Linked DNA regions of Macaca fascicularis. The protein of the gene in region 1 interacts with the protein of each later gene in a biochemical or structural test. Links are inferred from orthologs where the notes say so. Each region holds a gene or a part of one and is shown on either strand. Other genes may lie near its edges. The genes, in order: ATF4 and CREBZF.

The links.
Region 2: the proteins of ATF4 (region 1) and CREBZF form a complex in vitro, tested with the Homo sapiens proteins (2 studies listed by IntAct, with this or other methods). The link is inferred for Macaca fascicularis from reciprocal best matches to the Homo sapiens genes ATF4 and CREBZF.

Annotation. Positions count from the first base shown.
Region 1 is NC_088384.1:12,124,623-12,128,828, reverse strand, and holds ATF4 (cyclic AMP-dependent transcription factor ATF-4), read left to right. Parts: upstream 1-1,554; 5' UTR 1,555-1,747; intron 1,748-2,351; 5' UTR 2,352-2,443; coding exon 2,444-2,669; intron 2,670-2,770; coding exon 2,771-3,600; 3' UTR 3,601-3,685; downstream 3,686-4,206. UniProt on the Homo sapiens protein: Transcription factor that binds the cAMP response element (CRE) (consensus: 5'-GTGACGT[AC][AG]-3') and displays two biological functions, as regulator of metabolic and redox processes under normal cellular conditions, and as master transcription factor during integrated stress response (ISR).
Region 2 is NC_088388.1:84,705,626-84,710,127, reverse strand, and holds the start of CREBZF (CREB/ATF bZIP transcription factor), read left to right. Parts: upstream 1-1,694; 5' UTR 1,695-1,948; coding exon 1,949-3,006; coding exon of another isoform or gene 3,007-3,010; exon of another isoform or gene 3,011-3,123; intron 3,124-3,219; coding exon 3,220-3,235; 3' UTR 3,236-3,297; intron 3,298-3,524; 3' UTR 3,525-3,639; intron 3,640-4,361; 3' UTR 4,362-4,430; exon of another isoform or gene 4,431-4,502.

The DNA.
Region 1 (4,206 bases):
AGCCAAAATGTCCCAGCCAGGATTCTTTTGGGTGAGCTCCCCAAAATCTGTCTTCTAACTCCTACCCTATACTCCCTCCACTGGGAGCTGTGCGACTTTGAGCAAGAAGCTTCATCCCATTGGGCCTCGGTTTACCATTGGAAAGGACTTGTGGGCGAGGTTGAATGAGCGCAGCAGATGGCCTGTGGTTATTTAGAGCAGTGCTTCCCTGGTGGTTTGATACCACAGCGATCATAGAAATACTTGTGTGGCCCGGTGAAATGGAGGCGGAAACAGTTTCTACCTTCACAGGGCCTGACTGGAGGGGGCTGAGGACGATGCGGAGGTTTCCTGTATTAAAACAGACTACCCCCCCTTCCCAACGCACAACCCCGAGCACGTGGCCGTGGGTTCCCAAGCGCCTCTCCTCCCAGGGCCATGGGCATGACCACTGAAAAGCGGGTTAGGCCGGGGAGTTCAGAACCCGGAGTGAATCGAAACTACCCCAGGTAGATGGCAGCGAAGAAAATTCTGTTCTTAGGGGAACGCAATCTTCGGACACCAGAAGTTCCCCTATGATGCTATTCTGTGGCAGCCTCGCACTTGAGCCGGATGAGAATTGTAAAAACCCAGGTTGGGCGACAGGACGGCGCGTCTTCCCGGCTCCTTTCCAGAGTTTAGACGGAGCCATGCAGACTCAGCTGGCCTTTGAGTGTAGGTGGGCAGGCCCGAGGCGCCCTCTCGAGACCCCTTCAACCTCCCGGGGGCAGCAACACCGTGTCGGCTATGAATGGCGTCTCTGGAAAACTCAGGCTTGGAACAGGTAACCCCGCGGTTTCCGCAGGCCAGAAATTAGCCCCCGCAACCGAAGGACGCGCAGGCTGGGAGTGGCGGCGGGGCCGCCAGTGGCGGACCTCCACTGAGGGCGGCGGGACCCGACCGCAGGGGCTGGGCCCTGAGGCCACTATGGGGTGCGCTAGGCTAAGGTCTCCTGGGGGCAGAAGCCAGTGCGATTGTAGCTGGCCAGCAGGCTGGCCGGCCTGAGGCCTGGCAGAGACCCGAGACCCCGACCCTTCCCACGCGGACTCCGTGATCCCTCTCCCAGCAGCCGCCCACCTGGGGCCCTGAGCCAATAAGAGCTCGAGGTATATATGACTCACCGTGCCTGGGCCAATCAACTTGACGCGCGCTTTTCGCCAGCACCTCGCGCGATAACTTGGCGTCCTCGGCCTTCACAATAAAAACTCTCCGCCGGAAAACGACCTCTCCCCGCCCACCGCGCCGACACCGGAAGCGAGGCGTGTCTGCGAGATCACTCCGCGCTCCGGCGGCGAAGGAAAGAACGGACTCTGATCATAGAAGTAAAGTAGTGCACCTCTCTCGTTTCGTGAGGTCATAAGAACAAACACCTTTTCTCGTCACAGCTACGCGCTGGGCATAAACGGTTGGGGCGTCAAAGGGAGGGAAACGAGCGGGCGGGAGGAGATGGTCACGTGGCCGTGGCGGAAGGATGCGTCGGTGCTGCGTCCCCTTAGAGACGAAGTCTATAAAGGGCCGGCGGGCGGCTGTTGCGGCCATTTCTACTTCGTCCGCCCACAAATGTAGTTTGGTTCGCACGTGTGCGCCTTCCCTCCTCCCCGCCCGCAGGGTCCACGGCCACCATGGCGTATTAGGGGCAGCAGTGCCTGCGGCAGCATTGGCCTTTGCAGCGGCGGCAGCAGCACCAGGCTCTGCAGCGGCACCCCCCCCCAGCGGCTTAAGCCATGGCGTGAGTACCAGGGCGGGTCGTCCAGCTGTGCTCCCTGGGCCGGCGCAGGTTTTGGGTTGGTGGGGTGCGGCCTGGGGCCCAGGGCGGTGCCGCCAAGGAGGAAGCGATTTTACGAGCGCCCGGGACGCGTGGTCTTTGCTTGGGTGTCCCCGAGACGCTCGCGTGCCCGGGATCGGGAAGGCGCATTCTGGTGCCAGGACTGCTTCCACAGGGGCCCTGCCGCCCTCGGACCCCGAATCCCCCAAGGGTCCCAGGGGTCTCGGCTTTCCCCCCCCGCGAAACGTGGCAAGAACCAAGATGGCGGCGGCAGGGCGGCGCCGCGGGCGTGAGTCAAGGGCGGGCGGTGGGCGGGGCGCGGCCGCCCTGGCCGTATTTGGACGCGGGGACGGAGCGCCTTCCTCTTGGTGGCCGGTGGAAGAATCGCCTGGTCTCCGTGAGCGTCCATTTTGTGGAACCTGAGCCGCAGCAGGGAGGGGCGGATGCAACTGCCCCGTTGCCGACTCTGTAGATGGCTGGACTAGAGAAGTCCCGCCTCGTAAGTGGAAAGATGAAATTCTCAGACCAGCTAACCTCTAATGGGAGTTGGCTTCTGATTCCCATTCAGGCTTCTCACGGCATTCAGCAGCAGCGTTGCTGTAACCGACAAAGACATCTTCGAATTAAGCACATTCCTCGATTCCAGCAAAGCACCGCAACATGACCGAAATGAGCTTCCTGAGCAGCGAGGTGTTGGTGGGGGACTTGATGTCCCCCTTCGACCAGTCGGGTTTGGGGGCTGAAGAAAGCCTAGGTCTCTTAGATGACTACCTGGAGGTGGCCAAGCACTTCAAACCTCATGGGTTCTCCAGCGACAAGGCTAAGGCGGGCTCCTCCGAATGGCTGGCTGTGGATGGGTTGGTCAGTCCCTCCAACAACGGCAAGGGTGAGTGGGCCACCACCACATCGTCTGGGTGGGATCTAGGGTTAGGGGCCTGTTATCTTTGTATCTGACTCACTTGGCCCTGTCATTCAAATCTTTTGCAGAGGATGCCTTCTCCGGGACAGATTGGATGTTGGAGAAAATGGATTTGAAGGAGTTCGACTTTGATGCCCTGTTGGGTATAGATGACCTGGAAACCATGCCAGATGACCTTTTGACCACGTTGGATGACACGTGTGATCTCTTTGCCCCCCTAGTCCAGGAGACTAACAAGGAGCCCCCCCAGACGGTGAACCCAATTGGCCATCTCCCAGAAAGTTTAACAAAACCCGACCAGGTTGCCCCCTTCACCTTCTTGCAACCTCTTCCCCTTTCCCCAGGGGTCCTGTCCTCCACTCCAGATCATTCCTTTAGTTTAGAGCTGGGCAGTGAAGTGGATATCACTGAAGGAGATAGGAAGCCAGATGCCACTGCTTATGTTGCCATGATCCCTCCGTGCATAAAGGAGGAAGACACCCCCTCAGATAATGATAGTGGCATCTGTATGAGCCCGGAGTCCTATCTGGGCTCTCCTCAGCATAGCCCGTCTACCAGGGGCTCTCCAAATAGGAGCCTCCCATCTCCAGGTGTTCTCTGTGGCTCTGCCCGCCCCAAACCTTACGACCCTCCTGGAGAGAAGATGGTAGAAGCAAAAGTAAAGGGTGAGAAACTGGATAAGAAGCTGAAAAAAATGGAGCAAAACAAGACAGCAGCCACTAGGTACCGCCAGAAGAAGAGGGCGGAGCAGGAGGCCCTCACTGGCGAGTGCAAAGAGCTGGAAAAGAAGAATGAGGCTTTAAAAGAGAGGGCGGATTCCCTGGCCAAGGAGATCCAGTACCTGAAAGATTTGATAGAAGAGGTCCGCAAGGCAAGGGGGAAGAAAAGGGTCCCCTAGTTGAGGGTAGTCAGGAGCGTCAGTGTGCTTGTACATAGAGTCTCTGCTGTTGCTGTGTGTTGGAATAAATTATTTTGTAGGGAAAGTACTTGTGTGGATTCTTTTTCTGGCAAATTAGCCGAGTGAGGCGCCACCCACCCATCCCAAACTGGTCATAACATTCCTTGTGAGATCTGGGGAGGAGGGCAGTCCAGGACTGAAGATGGGTACCCAGAGTGGGAACTGCTCGCCCTGCTAGGTGTAAGCCACGATGCCTGATGACTCATGGGGCCATACAGCCAGATAGTTGGCCAACTGTAGCAAGTTGGGTCCTTTACCCAGAGGTGAGTTCGCTGGTTGTGTAGGGAGGAGGCTGGAGCTCTCTGGGAGGTTGGGAGGGAGGGACAGCCTGGGCCTCCACCTATTTATTCAAGAGGGCTTCATGCCAACAGCTGTCGCCTGAAACCCTGGATAAGCTTGCACAGTCCTTGAGATAAGCACACAAGATTAGTTTTCACTTGTTACCCTGAGTTCTGTAGAAGCGTGTTCCTGAAGAAAGAAATGGCTCCTTTTCGGAATTGATGCTGAAGCAGGACAGGAGCTGAGGGTTGGCCTCCATTTCTCCTT
Region 2 (4,502 bases), on another chromosome or scaffold:
CCACAGGTCATACTTTTTTCACACCTTGAAATAATTGTTTTCATTCAGTTGAGCTTTAGTGTTATGCCTTCAGTCAAAACTGTAGACTTTGTTCACTCACTCAATAAATATTTGTTGAAGCCTGTGCAGTGTACCAAGCACGTTTCTCAATATTTAGGACCTGTCAGTGTTCAACTTTCCTGGAACTTGCTTTCTGTCTCTCTTAAGAAATACTGTATAGAAGCAGCTATCCTAGAGGATATCTGCTACATTATTCAGTATCCTATAGAGAAGTTTCTTTAAGATTTAAGAACTAGAAAAGTGGTTAAAGAATTCATATATACTTTACTTATGAACAAAGGAAAATTCATTTCTCTTTTTTTGTTTGGGCTGTCAGGAAACAATTTTAGCCCAACTCAAACAACTGAGTAAGATATTGCATCCATCCAATTCCAATATTAACCGTTTCCCCTTTCAGAACTCCTTCTCTTCCTAGTTCATCTTTTTTTTGGCCTTGCTTTTTAAAAATTCAAAATGTTTTGTTTTACTATATTCTAATGTACTTGTAAACTGCTTCAAATCTCAGATCTCTTGTGGGATATGAACCTAAATATCTGTATTTGTAAACTGCTTCAAATCTCAAATCCCTTGTGGGATGTGAACCTAAATAACAAACAGAAAAGGTCTCTAAAATAAAAGATGTGCATTGAAAATAGAGCATTTCAATGGGAAAACGCATGCCATAGTAAACTATGTGTGTATGCAGGAAGACGAAGGAAGACAAAGGGTTTTAAAGGAAAAAAAATGAGGATGGTTACACATTGTTTTGAAATAATTATCTTGACTACAAAGGTCAATAACAAGGGTGACGTCAGTTCAAGGTTGGACAGGCAGCTTCTGGGCAGACATCCTTGCAGAGGTTTTGTATAAGGTCGTGATGGTTTTTGTGCAACGTTGTAGTTTTGCAGTCTTTGTTTTCAGGCATACAAGTATGAGTACCCTCTCTTCATAGCCTTTTCTGGCTCTATTTGTCAGAGTTTTTGTTCGTTACCCAAATGCAGTAAGTCAGTACTGATTGGATCTTGGCTCAAGTGAAAATACCTACTTGTAAAAAATGGCATGAACAACCGAAGACAATTTTTGTAAGGAACGTTGTATTCTACATTCCTTTTTTTTTTTTTTAATTGACAAATAATAACTGTCACATTCATGGGGTACATAGTGATGTTTCCATACATATGGAATGTAGTGATCAGGTTAGGGTAATTAGCATATCCATTATCCAACTGAGGACATCTAGTATGGCCCAGGTATTAAATAGTATTAGTAAACGATTGTTAATTTTCTGAAGACTTGGTAATAGTATTATGATTATGAAAAAAAGTCCTTAGTTTTAGAGATGCACACTGAAGTACGCAGGGGTGTGGTGTCTTACCTGCAACTTTAGGATGATTCAGCAAAAAAAATTTACAAGCATTTATGTAAAGATAAAGCAAATATGGCAAAACAATGTGTTGAACTGTTGAGTCTGGGTATTGGGCGGTATTATTGAATTAGGGTGGATAAATCTAGAGTCTGTTGTTATTTTTGCTGCAGTTATTATGATGTCACTAGAAAGCTGGAATTATTCCCACTCCAAAGCACCCTAAAACCTCGCGATATTACGGCCTGGTGGCGCGCGAAACGCGGTGGGCGGGGCTGGGGCGAAAACCACTGACTTCCGGCCAGGCCGTTGTCTGGGTGGTGCGGTCGAGTCATCAGTGGGCCTCACCGCTTCTTTCTCCCGACCCTTCCTGCGCCCTTGCGCGGGGGGTCGACTAGCCAACTGAGGCGGGAGGCTACTCGGACCTTTCCCTGCATTTCGTTTCGGCCAGTGCCGGGGGCTACCCGCCCTGGGGCGCGGGATCCTTGGGGCCCGTGAGGCCCACTCTTAGCGGCCAGGGCCTACCGCGGCCCGCCGCCGGCCCTCATGAGGCATAGCCTGACCAAGCTGCTGGCAGCCTCGGGCAGCAACTCCCCAACCCGCAGTGAGAGCCCAGCCCCGGCTGCAACCTGCTCGCTGCCCTCGGACCTCACCCGGGCGGCAGCGGGGGAGGAGGAGACAGCAGCGGCCGGATCTCCCGGCCGCAAGCAGCAGCTTGGCGACGAAGGGGAGTTGGAAGCCGGGAGGGGGAGCCGCGGCAGGGTGGCCGTGCGCGCGCCCTCGCCCGAGGAGATGGAGGAGGAAGCGATCGCCAGCCTCCCCGGAGAAGAAACGGAGGATATGGACTTTCTGTCTGGGCTGGAACTGGCGGATCTCCTGGACCCCCGGCAACCGGACTGGCACTTGGACCCCGGGCTTAGCTCGCCGGGGCCTCTCTCCTCGTCTGGCGGAGGCTCGGATAGCGGCGGCCTGTGGAGAGGGGAGGATGACGATGAGGCCGCGGCTGCTGAAATGCAGCGCTTCTCTGACCTGCTGCAGAGGCTGTTAAACGGTATCGGAGGCTGCAGCAGCAGCAGTGACAGTGGCAGCGCCGAAAAGAGGCGGAAAAAGTCTCCAGGAGGCGGCGGTGGCGGCAGCGGTAACGACAACAACCAGGCGGCGACAAAGAGTCCCCGGAAGGCGGCGGCGGCCGCTGCCCGCCTTAATCGGCTGAAGAAGAAGGAGTACGTGATGGGGCTGGAGAGTCGAGTACGGGGTCTGGCAGCCGAGAACCAGGAACTGCGGGCCGAGAATCGGGAGCTGGGCAAACGCGTACAGGCACTGCAGGAGGAGAGTCGCTACCTACGGGCAGTCTTAGCCAACGAGACTGGACTGGCTCGCTTGCTGAGCCGGCTGAGCGGCGTGGGACTGCGGCTGACCACCTCGCTCTTCAGAGACTCGCCCGCCGGTGACCACGACTACGCTCTGCCGGTGGGAAAGCAGAAGCAGGACCTGCTGGAAGAGGACGACTCGGCGGGAGGAGTCTGTCTCCATGTGGACAAGGATAAGGTGTCGGTGGAGTTCTGCTCGGCGTGCGCCCGGAAGGCGTCGTCTTCTCTTAAAATGTAGGGTCAAGTAATCTGCTCTTTATCCGCGTTTACCCCTTTCAACTCCCTTACACCATGTCAAACTTACCTTAGTGGGACATCTTCACCGGACACATTTCAGAGGAGAGAAAAAAAGTAATATTGAATCTTAAAGTGTTTAGCTAAAAGCATGAATGTGACACAGTAACCAACTCCTAATGATAACATGTGACTATTAAATCTCTCTGACAGTTTCTTTTTTAGGTGATTTCCTTCCTGCCAGGCTCCGTTGTAGGGGTTACAGAACAGTCGTTCCCGCCTCACAACCTGGTAAGGATCCATCTCTTCCCGTAACGCTCATGCTCTGCTGCTTAGTCTACTTTAATGGGCAACATCTCAGTCTGTGTGTGTGTGGTTTTTTTTTTTCCTGTTTTGGAAGGTGGGAGGGAAATCTAATTTGGGCCCTGTCCACCCTGGAAACAGACTTGTGCTGGTCAAGAATGTATTTAAGATGCCTCTTCTGGTTGAAATAGCTATTAATGTGTCCCCTTATTCAGACTTGCGTGTACCTAGCTCTTCTGTCCCCAGTGTGGACATGGCCTTGGATGACATCGGTTCCAACTGTACACTGAAACCTGCTTATAGAGATACAGTTTGGAGACAGTGAAACAGGTGAAGTTGAATGGAAGTTCCGAGTTGTACAAGGTGCAAATTGGAATTCCGATTTTAGGGCAACTTTTCAGAGGTTGACAATAAGTATTTGGGGCATGCACAAATGTGATAGTTATTTTGCTGGAGGTGACAGGTACCTCTGAAATATCAATGCCTTTTAGTTTTCAGTAGGAGATATAGAAACAGTCTATACGGAGTAACAGATTTTAGTATCTCACCATTAGAGAAGTTGGAAATTAACATGCATATCAGACTTCTGTGTTTTAGTTACTTCGAGAATAAGAATGGTTAATATTTCTTTGAGGACCAGCAGTGATTACCCTATCACTGAGTATGAATAAATTGTTGAACATCTTTATTTTTGTTGTATTAAAATTTTAGGTTAAATTTATATATGTATGATTAGATATTGAAGGTTGTGAAATGTGAATGAAAACGTGTAAAGTGAGGCTTCACAAAGAATCTTATTCTCTGTATTTCAAAAGTATTTGTCTTATTTTAGAATAATTTTTTAAATTGAGTGCTTCTGGCCACTTAAATAACACGATTGGCACTATTTTCCCAAAGGTGGGATTTATTCTTCCCTTGAATCTATTAACCATTTGTATAAATTGAGTTATGGTGTCCTTCAGTGTAAGAGGCATTAAGAAATTCTTTGTGAAACATCACTGCTTGATAAAGTATATACGTATTTAGCATCCTTGTTTTTCTTTGTGCTAAAGTGGATACAGCTGTTGGGGCAGAAGAGACGGGACCAGCTGCTGGCCACATTTCCTGCTTTATTTTAAAAGGTAGTATAAGAAATGAGGAAAAAGAGGTAATATCAGGGCTTCTGCTGTTTTTTATTTTTAAAATGTTCATAA